4 linked regions of the Xenopus tropicalis genome follow. The protein of the gene in region 2 interacts with the protein of the main gene of each other region in a biochemical or structural test. Links are inferred from orthologs where the notes say so. Each region holds a gene or a part of one and is shown on either strand. Other genes may lie near its edges. The genes, in order: cdc7, clspn, usp20 and csnk1g1.

Region 1 (3,566 bases), on a different chromosome or scaffold from region 2:
ACCAGTCTCTCATTCAAATCACTGGTTACTAAGGTAATTCAGACCCTAGCAGCAAGAACGCTGCTGAAAAGCCAAGTTTATTTCACGAAATAACTAAAAAAAAACTACAAATAAAAAATGAATGAACATTTTCTCAGTATTATTCTCTTCAAAATAAAAAAAGTTACAAAAAAAGAGAACAACTCCTTTAAACAGGCCAGAGGATGTGGGCAGAATTGGAGCTGTCCTCGAGGAAGAAAAGATTGGATTCAAAGTTACAATAAGAATTACCAGAAGTGTACCAGCCTACAACCTTGCTTACACCAGGAAGCATTGTCTCAGAGAGAAAAAAATACGACACATTTACCCAGAGCACCATTAGTAGATAAGTAGACAGGTTGCTGTATGAAGAATTACATGACTCATAACCAAATGTAAACACATCATAGAAAAGACCAGTTACAAAAATGAGAATTTATTTAAATAATTTAAAAATAAACCTATAATACAAAAATTTGAAATATTTTCCTTATTCTTGGCAGTACAAGCAGAAGGTGACAACACATTACCTCATGTTTTTAAAAAGTGGATGTATTAAAGCTTCTTCCGCCGTAATTCTTGTTGCTGGATTCATATCAAGAAGTCTGTCTAATAGATGATAAGCCTCATTTGGGACTCTATCCCACCCATTATGATTAGATTGTTCAATATCCATATTATCAGGTGCAGACACACAACTAGCAACCATAGAAGAAGCATGAGTTATATTAGACGATTCTGGTGAAAACCATCCATCTTGATTTTCCATTATCTGCATTTGTAAAGCAGCCCTTTGTTTTTGTATGTCATGTTGATCACCATTTGGAAGAAGGACTGCACTTCTCAACCCTTCACACAGAGTTTTTAAGTCCTTTGAAGGAAGTTCTTTACTACAAAGCAAATTTTTACCTATGATAAAAAAGACATTTTAAGATATTTAATCATTAAGGTTTTTATAACCATATATAACATAAAAAAGTGAAGTGGGAATTAGTTGAAGATGTATGTCATTGTAACAAACAAGTGTACACAATGTACAAATAAAACCATCTAAACTGAACTAAGCAGCTAGATAACATAATGCAATCTAGTACTAGTAATCTAGTATTTAACTTGGAAAATATGGGCAAATATTTCAAAACACAGATGTGCGGACAAAGAGTAGTGTATTCTAAGTTCTTATCTTACAATGAATCATCTTAAGATTAGGCCAGAATCTAAACAATTTTAACCAGACATCAAATTAAATTAAAGCTTGGCCACTTAAAATGTAGTTGGTGGCTTAATGTCAAATGTATGGGGCCACAATAATATGCTGTCCAAATGATATCTATCTGGGGAGCGGCCATAACTCTATCAGGCAAATTAAAGCATCAAATGAATAGCACCTTGGGCCCACTGACACAATCCTCTCCTAACGGGCCTGTATAGGAACTATAGGGTTGTGTAACGATCAGATGGAAGAGGACCTAAAGGGTCCTGGAGGCCAAATCAACATCTGCACACACACCAAAGAAGATCTTTAAATGAATGGCTAGATTAAAAGGAACATGTCTCCCAGACCTAAAAAGCTGTATAATAAAAGTTCTATTTAAATTAAACACAAGACCCAAGTTCCTTTTTTATTAACACAATCATATCCATTACAAAGGCATTTAAAAATCCAAACTGTCAATCATATAGCAGACAATTACTTTTCCTTTCCTTTTAGCTCTTAGGGTAAGAAACCACGGAGCAGTTTGGTCGCCTGTGATAGATTTCTGCTGTTGTGGGCGACTATCCCTCTAAAAATGGTTTTCCACCGGCAATAATAGGAGTCGCTGGTGGAAATCCCTTTGCATTGCTTCGGTATTCTGAAGTCGTACAAAGTTTTCCCCTGCAGGCAACTTCATATTCATATTTGCCCAGGTCAAATGCACTGTGACAATATATTTAAATTGGTGCACCCAAACCAAGGGAATATTGAAAGGTAAGCCTAATGGGTGGTTGGGGTCTATTGGGTATGGTACCCCAAGAGGCACAGTAGTCGATTTTTTAGGATCTGCAATTTCTTGTTTCTTGTATTGTGCTTCCTTGATCTAGGAGAGATTGCCTAATGAGAGCCAAGGGCTCAATTACAAGGCAAACAGAATAATGGGAATTATTGTCTTATTCCTCTGGCAAGTGAGAACATATTACTCTGGTATCAGTGTGAAATACTTTCAAGAATTTCTTGAGGATATATGACCTCTCTGGAAACTTCTTAGAAAATACATTTTAAGAGCAAAAATGATAAGTGAAGGTAAGGTAAAGCAGTAAGAAATTAAATTTGTATATTTGTGTCCTCAGCCCTAGTTGGTCGGGGTGCCTAAGATATAAGTTTTAGAATTCAGCCTTCCCTGCCCTTAAAATATTTTTATGTAATTACTCTAAGGGGCCCATTTATCAAAGTACAATTGGTTACAATTACAGGTATAGGACCTGTTATCAAGAATGCACAGGACCAAGGGTATTCCGGATAAGGGGTCTTTCCGTAATTTGGATCTCCATACCTTAAGTCTACTAAAAAAAACAATAAAGCAATAATTAAATCCAATAGAATTGTTTTGCATCCAGTAAGGGTTAATTATATCTTCGTTGGGATCAATTACAAGGTAGTGTTTTATTACTACAGAGAAAAAAGAAATCAGTTTTAAAATTCTGAATTATTTGATTAAAATAAAGTCTATAGGAGACGGGCTTTCCGTAATTCGGAGCAGTATGTACGATATTTTCGTATTCAAACAAAAATAATTTTTGTGACATTTGCAATCACCAGAAATGATCGGATTTTGTGATTCAGATTCGCACATGAGTAAATCAGCTCCTAAGTGTTTTAATTGTTCACTCTGTAATACTGTAATGTGTGAAGTTAGCCCACAAACAATCAAGCAAAAAGAGAACATTTGTATTAGAGAATTTTACTTTTGTCATAATTATATGGCATATTTTACATACCAAAACATTTAGAAGCTTGTATTGTCTCCTTAGATCCACGAATCGTCATAATCTGGGCCAAAGCATTCATATCATCCGCAGCATTAAAAAAATGATATCTTCCGCTTAGTAAAGAAAGAAAGATGATGCCTGCAGACCACATGTCAATTGCTGTAAAAAATTAAGTGAGCTTAAAAAGCAAATACATAAAAAATGTTCAGAGTATAAGAAGCCCTAACAGGTAATTTTCGAATTGTCTAATATTAAAAACTAACATTGACATATAAAGTTAATAAAATACTTGATATATGGATATAACAAATAAATATAAATACAGTGCTTTGCTAAAGTATTCACCCCCCTTGGCATTTTTCATGTTTTTTTGCCTAACAACCTGGAATTAAAATGGATTGTTTTGAGAGTTTGCACCATTTCATTTACAGAACATGCCTACAACTTTAAAGATATACAGGACAAAATAACAGAAAACTTCAGCGTGCATGAAGTCAGTACTTTGTAGAGCCACCTTTTGCAGCAACTACAGCTGTAAGTCGCTCTGGATAAGTCTCTATGAGCTTGCCCTGGGATTTTTG
Region 2 (4,014 bases):
AGATGATGCCTTTTTTATAACTGTAATATGCAATGTGATTTAAAAGGAGAAGTCACTTGGGTGTGCCAAAATGTCAGGAACCCCCAAGTGACTTTAAACTCTTACCTTGTACCCCTGTTCGGAGAAAACCGCACCAGCCCAGGGTACCTGCAGCGAGCGCCTCGTCTTCCATGTTCGCGCTTGTGCATGCGCAGTAGAGTGAAAAGCCGCACAAAAAAGTCAGCTTTTCACTCTACAGCGCATGAGCCGGCCCATGGATTTTGCTGGCAGAGTGAACATGGAAGGAGGAAACGCTCGCTACAGGTACCCCAGGCTGGTTTTCTCCTAACAGGGGCACCAGCCCGGGGTACAAGGTAAGCGATTAAAGTCACTGGGGGGTGCCTAACATTTTGGCACCGCCAAGTGACTTAGCCTTTCCTTCTCCTTTAAATGTTTAATCACCGCTTATAAATCAAGACTGCTATATCAAGATCAAAAACTTATCTGCTACAATCTGTGGGGCACTTGTGTCTAAAGGAAATTCTTGCTTTCAGAAGGCATAACTTTATTTCAACACACCTCTGTCCTCTATACAATCCAATATTTTGTTCTGATCATCAGCAGAAGCCATTTCACAGCTGCCCTGACCACTGTCAGAATCTGTCTCCAAGATCTTCAGACTGATGCTGTCTTCTGGTTCCAAAACTAACTATTTAAAACAATAATGTTAAAGGTTTTAGAATAAAAAACACCAGGTAAAATTATTGAACATTAAAGACATTTAAACTACAGGTATGGGACCAGTTATCCAGAATGCTTGGGACCTGGCGGTTTCCGGATAAGGGGTCTTTCCGTAATTCAGATCTCCTACCATAAGTCTGCTAAAAAAATTCTATAAAATGTCTTTCTCCAACTGTGTTTCAATTAATAGAAAAAACTTTGTGTTATCTCCTGACTTCAAAAGCTGATTGTAAATGCAGACCATTATAAATGTCCTTACCCCATTCCCCTCTTTCTTTCTGTACCCCATTTCTGCTGAAAAACCAAAAAATAAAGAATACATAAAAAAAAAAAAAAAAAATTCTATAAACACTAAGCCCAATAGGATTGTTTTGGCTCCAATACGAATTAATTATAATTAATAATATATATATATATATATATATATATATATATTTATTTATTTATTTATTTATTAGAACTCTCTACATCATAAAGTTAATGAAAAGGTAAACAACCACCTTAAGGTAAAAAGTAGAACTTGTTATTTTTCAGCTATTCTTTACACAGCTTTCTATTTATGCCTTGTTCCCAAACAGTATGGTCAGTAAGGGATCCAAATATAGATTATAGAATTTCCTTATGCAAGCCCCAAGCAAATGTCACTGGGGACCAGGCCTGGACTGGCATTTAAAATAGGCCTTGGCATTTTAAGTATACAGAAGCCCAAACCGCCCCCACCAGCCCACTAAATTCAATATTTCAATATCTTTTTTTTTTTAAATATTCTTAAGGCATCTGAGGACATACACATTATGTCCTTTCCCAGGCTTAAGCACTAAAAAGGCAAGAAAAGCTTTGTTTATTAAACAAACCACATCATAATTTAATGCAAGCATTGGATCCATTACCCAGAAATCCATTATCCAGAAAGTCCCAAATTACAGGAAGACTATCCCCCATAGACTTCATTATAAGAAAATAATTCTATTCTTTAGAATGATTTCCTTTTTCTGCATAAATAGAACAGTACAATATACTTGATTCCAACTAAGACATAAATAATACCCATTGGAGGCAAAACAATCCTATTGGATTTAATTAATATTTAAATGTTTTTTTCAGTAGACTTAAGATATAGAGATCCAAATTACTGAAGGACCTGCTTATCAGGGAAACCCAAGGTCCCAAACATTCATATATTGTATTAATATCTATTACATTTATTGTATTCTATTTACTAAAATAGGCTCAGACTCCAGATTTAGAAATGTAAACATCCAATAACACAAGACAAGTTAAACAGTATAATGAGTTATACTTCTCTCTATTAAGATTATGCCCCTTAAGTTAGTTATAAACCTTAGAATTTGCAGAACATATTTGCCTGCAGCCCTGCACTCCTACACATGGGTTGCACCATAAGCACAGGACTGCAGATGAACAATCTAAACAAGGGAGTAACTATAAAGAGAGCAGACCCTGCAGTTGCTGGGGGCCTAGAGGGGCACTGGCCAATAAGCTTTTTGCCAACACTTACTCGAACCCTAAAACACATTTACATTCATGTATAAGTCTCGTAGACACGGCTATATTATCCTAAACAAAACGGAAGAAACACAAATACATAAAGAGCGTATTATTAGATATACCAGGTATTATCGGTGCACACGCACGACAAATGTTAATTTTAAATGCAGCCCAAAACCAGAGATGGCGTTTTGGTTTTCACACCTGGTTTTTGTTTTTTCATGAGCTTTGCGGTGATTTAGTCAGCCCGTCCCTTATACATAGGTATATCTATAGTCTGTGCAAGTGAACACGATTGCCTTTGTTGTTCTACCCGACTGGTCTAATCCAACGCAGGTATAGCCAAACGGTAAGAAGCCAAGTATTTATTCCAAGATGACTACCAGTGCTGCCTATATAGAGTAGTTCGCCTCACCTGCTCTTCTTCACAAAGCGCGGCCATGGTGCTATCTGCTGACAGCTCCCGCCAATCTTCCCAGCTGCCGCCTCAGAATTCGCGCCCTGTACGTGTGGGTTGAGCAGAAAAAAAGCCATCCAATGACTGTCACCCACAACAGTGACGTGTTATTTTCTGTATGCGTTCAAAGCCTCGTTCTCCATCTATTTCCTCATTTTAGAACGTGCACCAGCAACTTGGTTTCCGCCTCCCAAACTCAATGATTGCGCCGCCTGGAGACCTGGTTTGGAAAGTCACCGATTCAAGATTCATCCCCTGTGCCCCAGAAAGATGCCCTTTAAAAGTTGGTAGCGAACTGTCGGGCGGATACCCCTGGAGGAACTAAGCTTAAAGACTATTTAGGATGACGCTTGAACTTTGCAGTCTTAGATATTTTAGAAAACTCTGATTAATTTCTTATTTAGAAGCACTTTAATTGGGTATTAACAGTTCCAGAAGTGAGAGGAACTTCAGTATCTGCCTAGTGCTGAAAGTGGTGTTTTACTACTTTTTATTTTTTTCTTTGTATGTGGATGGCCATAATACATGTATGTGTTATGTATGTGTAACCCTTTCTTGGCACTGATATCCAGGGCCACACTGGGGCGCAAACAGGAAAAATCCCAAGCCTCCACTAAGTGGGAGACCATCAGAGGATTATGTATCCAAATGGCTACCAGACAAATGAAACACAATACACAAAAAAGATCAGCCCTTGAACAGCAACTAGCACAGTTACAAACATCAAAAAAAATTCCCCATCCAAAAAACTTACAAAACAAATCACAAAGATAAAAGGAGAGCTTCATCAATTAGATTTGATAAACATGGAAATAGGACTTAGAAAATTGAAAATAAATAGTTATTACAAAAGAAACAAAATAGATCTACTGGCAATACAAATTAAAAACATTAGAGTTAGAACAAGTGATCACAGACAAAACTAAGCAAACTTTACATAACCCAAAACAAATTGCAGAAGGTCTTCCTGAAGGGGACTAACTCTAAGAAGCCTGTCACTACTGGGAACAAAAATGAAGTATTTGATGATCTGACACATGGGTTCCCCAAATGTTGCAAGTAACCAAATTTTTACATGCACACCCAGGTCTCTGATTTTTCTCCTTGCTGCTCGGCAATAAGGGAGATGGCCCTCCCTGGTATGTATAAATATATAAATAAATAGAAATCCTGGCACACAAAGGCTTCCTGTAGGGGACTACCCCCCAAGTTTTATTATGCCAAAAAGAACATACAATGTTTTGGAGGGCGTGCCCTTTTGTCAGGTGATAGCCAGTGATTATACAATCCACTTTTTAAATACAACAAAAACCCAACCATTTATGAAT
Region 3 (4,358 bases), on a different chromosome or scaffold from region 2:
ACTTGCCCTGATTGTGTAATTCCAGGACTGAAGGAAACAAGATTTATATTACTTATACAGTGTAAGTGAAGTTTATTTTGCTTGAGAAATACAATAGAAAAGAATTTGGGATTATTTCTTAGGGTGACAGGTCCCCTTTAAGGCCTCACACGAGCAGCAGGGAGAATAAAAGGCACACAATGACTTTTGGATGTAAGTCCACTAATGTTAAACATTACCAATATATATTAACCTGTATTTAAAAAAAAAAAAAAAAAACCCTTTATGTCAGTGATCCCCAACCAGTTCTTGGCTTGGAGGCAAGCTTTAGCTGCATAAAAACCAGGTGTACTGACAAACAGAACCTCTTATAGTCTGCCAGTCCACTTAGAGGCTACCAGATTAGCAATTTACAGCCCATATTTGGCACCCCCAGAAGTCTTTTTATGCTTGTGTTGCTCCCCGACTCTTTTTACATTTGAATGTGGCTCATGGGTAAAAAAGGTTGAGGACCCCTGCTTTATGTGATGAAAAGGCCGCAGTTTGGTTGGCTTGGGAGGGAGAGGAGAGGCCTGGGCAGCAGACTGTAAGCACAGCAGTTAGACCTGAATGAGGATAATAGGGTCACATGACCACTTGTGAGAGCCTCAGCCATTCGCGGTACAAGGCCGCAATCATGATGCCATTATATCAGAGGATGGCATACATCAGCAACTGGTTACCCGTAGATACCAAGCACAATGCCAGCTGCTCACAGAAATCTCAATTTAATTGCAAAAAATAGTCAGCAATTTATACACAGCATGAGTCACTTTCCCTTCAGCTTCATCCATATATGGTTCCGCTGATCCGGCATTATCTACATTTGAGCCTGTATGTCAGCTGACACCATTCTTTTTATACAATATATATATTATATACACACCTGTGGCCCACTTGTGCAGGATATACAACAATCACTATCATATGTTCTATATATACTACCAACTGCCTACCTAGTACAAATACCAGCCTTTCTGCTTTATTATATACTATCCAGTGCCCTTCTCTGTAAATACCAGCTTGTCCCCTTCTCTGTGCATACACCAGAATCTGCCCAAATCCTATGTATATACCAGGCCATGCCCATCACTGTTTTTGTGTATATTCCAGCTTGTGCCACTGTCTTTGTCTCTACCGTTTCCTTCTCTGTGTATATACCAGCCTGTGCCCCTGAGAATATATAAACCTGCTCCCCTCTCCTCTCTATGTGTAACCTTGTGCCTACCTCCTCTCTGTGTATATACACCAGTCTGCCTCTCTTCTCTGTGCCCCTCTCTTGTGTATTTATCGGCATGTACCATCCTCTGTGCATACACCAGGTTGTGCCCACCTCCTCTCAGTGTAAATACCAGGCCATTCCCATCACAATTTTGTCTATATTTTAATTTGTGACACTCTCAGTCTGTCTCTAGCGTTTCCTTCTCTGAGTGTATAACAGCCTGTGCCCCTGGGAGTATATCAAGCTGCTTCCCTCTTCTCTCTACATAAATCCAAGCTAGTGCCTAATTTCTTCTCTGTGCCCAGCACCTCACTGTGTATATACAGCAGTCTGCCCCCTTCTCTGTGCCTAGCACCTCTCTGTGTATATACACCAGTCTGCCCCCTACGCTGTGCCCAGCGCCTCTCTGTGTATATACACCAGTCTGCCCTTTCTCTGTGCCCAGCACCTCTCTGTGTATATACACCAGTCTGTCCCCTTCTCTGTGTATATACACCAGTCTGCCCCCTTCTCTGTGCCCAGCGCTTCTCTGTGTATATACACCAGTCTGTCCCCTTCTCTGTGCCCAGCGCTTCTCTGTGTATATACACCAGTCTGCCCATATATATATATATATATATATATATATATATATATATATATATATATATATATATATATATATATATATATATATATATATATATATATATACCAAATCAAACACAACCAGCACCAAGGGTCTTGTGGTTCAAACAAATATTATAGTATTATAATTGCATGTACAACTGACGTTTCGGTCCCTTTTGGGACCTTTAAAAAGGTATATATATATATATATATATATATATATATATACAGTCCAGAGTGGGAGGCACACCATAAAATGAGAGTAAACCTAGGTGCCAGAGCTATAAAATCTGTAGATAGGTAAAGAATGTCGGCACTCTTAGGATTTCCACAATAAGGCAAAAAAGTAAAGTTTTTTTTCAAATGCAAGCGGTGAGATTTATTGTTTCCAACGTTTCAGTCCTTTACTAGGACTTTCGTCAGGGAGTGCAGGAAGGCAAAGACATTGCACTCCCTGACGAAAGTCCTAGTAAAGGACTGAAACGTTGGAAACAATAAATCTCACCGCTTGCATTTGAAAAAAAACTTTACTTTTTTGCCTTATTGTGGAAATCCTAAGAGTGCCGACATTCTTTACCTATATATATATATTTATATTGAGAGAGAGATACAAGTTGCTAGTAAGCTGCACACCATGAGAAGAAATAATACCTGGGGGTGCCAGAGAAGGTGTGTGTGTGTGTGTGTGTGTGTGTATATACATACACACACACACGCAAGGTTAATATGATGCACTGCCCCCAGGCCCCTGCCGCTACACTAAGCTAAACCCCTGCCTGTACAGACATTAATCCTCTAGTAGTTATGGAGCTTGTACATGGATACGGGGTGCAGGAGCAAACCTACCTCCCTATGCCATGCCAGCCTGATGCCAGATACCTCTGTTACCGCAGCTGTTGACTGCTGATTCCTAACTCCGCCCCACACTGCCAAGGCAAGGGCGGAGATCCGGAAGCTTCTCACTGGCATTATTACATCATTAGACCGCGCCGGAAGTTTACATATTCCGTAGTGTCCGGGTTCAGCAGCGGGGAGAAAGATGCCTGGGGGAAGAAACTTTCGGAGGCGTAAAGCCTCGTCGTCAGATGAAGAAGCGGAGGCTGAAGAAGTAACTCAGGAGGTTAGGTAGGTTCTCGTTATATTTCTGCGACTCAACAGTGAGGATACTCGAAGTTGTATTCGTGTGAAACGTTACCTCAGGCCTTTTTTTTATTCCAAGAACGCGTTACTATGGATACCAATTAGCCATAAACACATTGTTGGGAGGGCAGACTTGGGGGTCTGCTTTTTCTATAGGTGTAACTAACTAACCCCCTTCCCCATCACTGTTCTACCTGAGCGTTAGTGGGCAGAGATAGGGGAAGTGAGCAGTGTCGGGCTGGGACCCAGGGGCCCACCAGAAAACATTAGACCCTCGGCTCACTCTCCAAATTATTTTTTTCTCAACCAACCTCTGCTAGTCTCTTTTATTTACATGCCAATATCTATTCTTCCATCTATTTCTCTTCTTTGTTTTCATTCAGCAATAGGGTATGACCGTGAAGTAGGCCAAATGGTAGGAGCAGGAGGGCTCACTGACACCTGTGCCCACCAGGAGTTTCCTGGTAGGCCAGTCCGACACTGGAAGGGAGGGGCAGGGTGTTGGTTTGTGAGGGGAGGGTGGGTAATGCCCTCTGGGGGGCCCTGCGTGGTCTGGTAAGTCAATACAGGGTACAAGAATGTGTTTACTTAACAAGCACATGTGGGCCGAGGAATGCGCGCACACACACACACACACACACACCATATGTAGATTCAGCACTCCTAAGCGTGGTCAAAAGACCCATGTGCTACCAATTAAGCATTAAAAATAAAAAATCTAGTGAATATTGGTGCACACCGGGAATCATTTAAAAAAGTAGCCTTTATTGTAGTAAAAAAAAAAAAAAATAAAAAATATATATATATATATATATATATATTTTATTATATATTATTCTCTTATTAATACCCTGTTTGTATTAATGTATTCTACTGTACAGCACTGCGTACATAAGTAGCGCTTTATAAATAAAGATATATATATATATATATATATATATACATATACATATACATATACATATACATATATATATATATATACATATACATATACATATACATATACATATATATATATATAGAAACAACAACAAGAGATCCTCTGCACTCACCCATTATCAATATATAGGACATTAAGACATTCAGTGCATTTAAGCTACTAAGAAATGCCCTTCCCTTTAAGCAAAACAGGGATTGTTTGTCCATATATTGCAATATACTTCAAGCTGGCCAACTGGGTCAAAGTCATCCCTTTTGACCAGTTCCTACACTGACTTATGCGATTCATTAAGAATTCTACTGCTTCAATATACATTTAGCCAAGGGACTAAGTTTTACCTGCAACTTTCTTGCTTTCAAGGTTAAAATCCCCATATGGTTGCCCTTTTATTGGCTCCACTGGGATCACCTGACTGCAGCTGGGAAG
Region 4 (4,277 bases), on a different chromosome or scaffold from region 2:
GAGGCATGTTTGAAAGCCTTACCGCCATAAACTGTCAGATATGGTACAATACAAGATTAAGTAGGGTATACAGAACAGCTTCTCTATCTTCTTGCTATTTAGGCTGTCACAGGTATGGATACCTTAACTGCCCTACACTTTAGGCTGTCAGGAGTATTAAAGTGCCACAACATAGGAACTACTAAAATAATGGGTTGTATAACTAGATTTGGCTGAAAGCAATCAGTTACAGATTTTAGCCTTCAAAGTATGGATTGAACTGAAAATCACTGATTTAGTGTAATCCAAGGTTGAGGTCTACTGCACGCTGGAAACAGTAAAGCAGCACTATCAATTAAATCAAAAGCTAATTATATTCAGTGCCGGGGCCACATTTTTTTTTTTTTTTTACTTCTTATAACAGAACACAAAAAATAATCCATTCTCATGGTCATATTTAAAAAAGACAGGTATTTCAGGTAGGTTACTAACATGAGCAAACAGTATCAATATGTGCATGTGTATACCAACCCTGGTTTCCAACCCAGAAAAATTTAACAATCAACATTAATAGCAAAATCTAGATTTGCATAGTGGCGTTTTAATAGGCCTTTGCAATGACCAATTTACTTGGCAAAAAAAACAATATTCAAATTTGGCAAATCAAGCATAACTGGGTGCAACTGTGATATGAACACTGTTCAATCAAGGAATAAATTGCAGTAACAATCACCAATTCCTGCAGAACATGTAATTATTTTTATACCATGTTCTGCTAATTATATGTTTAAAACTCTGGGTGCTAAATGGGTCTCCCAAATCGCTCATTATGCATGTGCTGTCACTTACAAGCAAATAATAAGCAAGCTGGGACACTAAGCCTCATTTGCATGCTTGTGTCCCAACATGGCTGCCACTACCGGGAGCTCCCTCATAGTGCAGGTGGCATATCACTCACAGCCAGCATTTTTTTTTAACAAAAGAGAATTGTTTTCCTTAACAGGGGTTCACCTCCAGTGGAAATAAGAAATTATGTCAAACTAATGTGACCAGATACTAAACCCTGCATAGCGCCTGCGAAAAAAACCTGCTCAGTCCAAATTTATGCAAGATGACACCTATAAAACCAGGTATACAGGGCTGTGGGGCTCATTTACCAACACTGGCCATATCGGTCATACAAAGAATTTACATCAAGATTCTTGTACTTTTCAAGCCCTCAACAATGTTGAGCCGCCAAACAACTACCAAATAAACCACGAGATGTAACATCAGGTTTTCACATGACCTTCTCTCACGCTTATTACTCCAACTAATTCCTGCATCCAGGACTTTCATGTGTTGCACCCACCCTCTGAAACACCTTCCAACTAATCACGGTCAAAGCCTCCAGGCTTAAAGATAATCAATTATAAGCCACCTTTAAATTCACACCTATAACTTAAGCACTCAGCAACTTGATCATTCCCATATCCCCCTTACTTTTCACAAGCACACAAACTGGTCAATGGTTACCACCTTTCACTATGCACTTACCATTACTATACCAGCTAAAGAACTCTACAACCGTACTGCTTAACCTCATCGTATGTCTTACTTCTTTCACCCCTTTTAGAGTCTCAGCTCTCGCGAGCAGAGCCTTTCCCTGCAGCCTTCTAACAATGGGCAATAGTAAATTTTGTCTATATATGTAACTTGTCTCTTTTATTTGCATCTCTTACTCTGTAAAGTGCTGTTGGAAAGGATGGCGCTATATAAATAATAATTTGCACCTGGGCAGTAACTTGTTGTACAAAACTAAAGCAAAGATTTTATTGGTTGCTATAGGTTACAGGATCAAGTTTGCAGTGTTGATGTGAGTCCCAGTGAATGCTAGGTGCAGGATAACCTATGCCAAACTTACACATTATCTGTAAATTCCAATTAGCAAAATACTTCTTATTGGCACACGGGGAGATTAGTTGCCCGCGACAAATCTCCCTTATCACGGGCGACTAATCTCCCCATGTGTCAGAGCCCTTATGGCTTCTAAGAGACAATGGTATGACACGCATTTAACTGATGGACAAATCCCACAAGGGGCTTGTTAAAAGTTTTATTGAACGCTACCTATCAACAGTGGTGACAGGTGGATTTGGCCAGAAAATACTCAAATTGGTATGGAATCCTGCCTAGTAGCAAGTTAGTTTCAGTGGAAACCTCCTGTCACCACAAACGACAAGCAGAATTTAGCCCGAAACAAGTCAAATGTGCATTTTCTGGCCAAAATTTGCAAAAATGTTGATACATCCTATGTACCATGAGCCTAAACGCTTGGGACAAAAAGAGAAGCTTACTTCTTAAATGCCAAAACAGAAGCATAACATACATGACAAAACTACTGTATGTCTCTGGTTGTACAATATATAAATTATAAACATTATAAACTGTTATGAATCAGTTTTGTGTTACCTTTGTTTCCAAAACTCGAGTCTCTACTTTCCTAATATTCGGCACACTACAAACAGAAGCTCCACACATTTCCAGGTTTAAAGAGATGTATAGATTTGCATTAAGATGATTTCACTTCAAAATCCTTATGACAATTGCCGTCAAAGTCTCTGTTGCGTTGATGTGAGGGCTTTCTCTGCCCCTGATGCTACAATACCTGTAACTGGTCACACTGTATCTGTGACTAAACACCCTAAGCTTCCATGCCTACATCAAAATCTCTATGCAACCCACTTGTATTCACCGAGACCACAGTACAGCCAGTATTAACCCTAATAATCACCATTTGAGCCACCGTGCCGGTTACTAATACACCCTAGCGTGCCAATGCCACATATTGACCAACAGTCCCGCTTTTCACTGGACACTCCTTATTTTCCTAAGAAAGCCCGCACTCCCGAATCGCTACTTACACGTCCCGCATAGATGTTAATTGCAAGCTTCTTGCCTCCTGTCTTACAGAAAATCCCGATGCCACAAGTCTCATCACGCGAGACTGTGGCGTCACTACTACCCGGAAGCGCAGTGACGCATCACGTAGCCGCCTTGTGGGAATGACGAGCAGAGACGTCGTATCTCTGCTTTCACGCAATCAGAGGCTGCAAGTGAGTGGCGGTGGGTTAGCTCACTATGTGCTTGCGCCTCCTACTTTTGTTAGGGATTGAGAACAAAAAAGGGCATTCTTTGGTGTTAGTCGGTTGTCATGCTGCCCGCCACCTCGTAGTATTTCTTCAGAATTAGCTTTTGTGTTTTTGCTTGGAGTTCTGACTTGTGCCAGGGAAAAAAAAGGTTTTTCTTGATTACCAATTGTACCTGCCACAAACGGAGCCTCTTCTCCCACGTTAACCAAAGTGTAGAGCGTTTTTGTGTATGCTAGGGCCAGGTGAAATTGAGAAATGTTAGTTTTCCTGTCCCAGTGTATTTTTGTGACCAAGGGCCGGGTTGTTTACACATTGGCAAATTTAAGAGAGGGTTATGGGTGAATTTTAGCAATCTTGAGTTTTACAGTGGCATCAGAGGATCCCGGTACTTTTGTGCAAACAAAGGGCGGGCTTTCCACAATTCAGGGATAGAACAAGAGCTGATTTAGGAGAAGACAATGGGTGAAATTGACCAAAAGTAATCTTTTCATCTGTTTCCTCTAAAGTGTGCTGGTTTCCTGTCAGTTACCACAGCAGTTCCAGGGCCCAAAAAGGTCAGCCAGTGTTTAATGTCAAGACAAGGAAAATATTTTTCACAATTTAGGACCAATATATGAGCTAACTTAGAATAATTTAATGGGTACCAACAGTGATCTTTAGTTTTTTTTTGTTTTTTTTTACATTGGCACTGGAGACTCCCAGACAGTTTTTCCTGGTTGCCAACAATACCTACCACCTGTCAAAGCCTCTTCCAATTTCACCAGAAAGGAAAAAGTTTGTGCAAACAGGGGGCAACTCTTTTCTTAATACTTTGAGGGTCCCTGTTTTGCACACAATGAGGGCCATGATTTGCACACAATGGCTAATTTAGGAAGAGCAATAGGTAAAATTCACCAAAAGTTATCTTGAGTTGTTTGGTCCATTTTTTTTTTTAAAGGGTATCTGTATTTTTGTGCAGACAAGGGGCAGATTGAGGTTCCTTGTTATCAGAGGCTCCCAGACACTTTTCCTGGTTGCCAACAGTACCTGCTGGAATCAGAGCCTATCACCCGATTTTTTTACCCCAGCCAGGCATGTCGCAGTCTCATGAGACAAGACTGCAGTGTCAATCCCCAGTTAGGTGCTGCCTACTTCCAATTTACTAGCACTCACACTTCCCCTTAGTAA

Evidence for each region.
Region 1: of the proteins of clspn (region 2) and cdc7, one has a biochemical effect on the other in vitro, tested with the Homo sapiens proteins (3 studies listed by BioGRID, with this or other methods). The link is inferred for Xenopus tropicalis from reciprocal best matches to the Homo sapiens genes CLSPN and CDC7.
Region 3: of the proteins of clspn (region 2) and usp20, one has a biochemical effect on the other in vitro, tested with the Homo sapiens proteins (2 studies listed by BioGRID, with this or other methods). The link is inferred for Xenopus tropicalis from reciprocal best matches to the Homo sapiens genes CLSPN and USP20.
Region 4: of the proteins of clspn (region 2) and csnk1g1, one has a biochemical effect on the other in vitro, tested with the Homo sapiens proteins (2 studies listed by BioGRID). The link is inferred for Xenopus tropicalis from reciprocal best matches to the Homo sapiens genes CLSPN and CSNK1G1.

The regions. Positions count from the first base shown.
Region 1 is NC_030680.2:104,898,725-104,902,290, forward strand, and holds the end of cdc7 (cell division cycle 7-related protein kinase), read right to left. Parts: intron 3,145-3,566; coding exon 2,995-3,144; intron 928-2,994; coding exon 545-927; 3' UTR 439-544; downstream 1-438. UniProt on the Homo sapiens protein: Kinase involved in initiation of DNA replication. Phosphorylates critical substrates that regulate the G1/S phase transition and initiation of DNA replication, such as MCM proteins and CLASPIN.
Region 2 is NC_030678.2:81,833,957-81,837,970, forward strand, and holds the start of clspn (claspin), read right to left. Parts: upstream 2,808-4,014; 5' UTR 2,672-2,807; coding exon 2,645-2,671; intron 2,634-2,644; exon of another isoform or gene 2,434-2,633; intron 689-2,433; coding exon 559-688; intron 1-558.
Region 3 is NC_030684.2:22,435,458-22,439,815, reverse strand, and holds the start of usp20 (ubiquitin carboxyl-terminal hydrolase 20), read right to left. Parts: upstream 2,835-4,358; 5' UTR 2,819-2,834; coding exon 2,696-2,818; intron 1-2,695. Other genes in the region: uncharacterized protein C9orf78 homolog, read left to right, coding at 2,889-2,974.
Region 4 is NC_030679.2:94,478,681-94,482,957, reverse strand, and holds the start of csnk1g1 (casein kinase I), read right to left. Parts: upstream 2,846-4,277; 5' UTR 2,431-2,845; intron 1-2,430.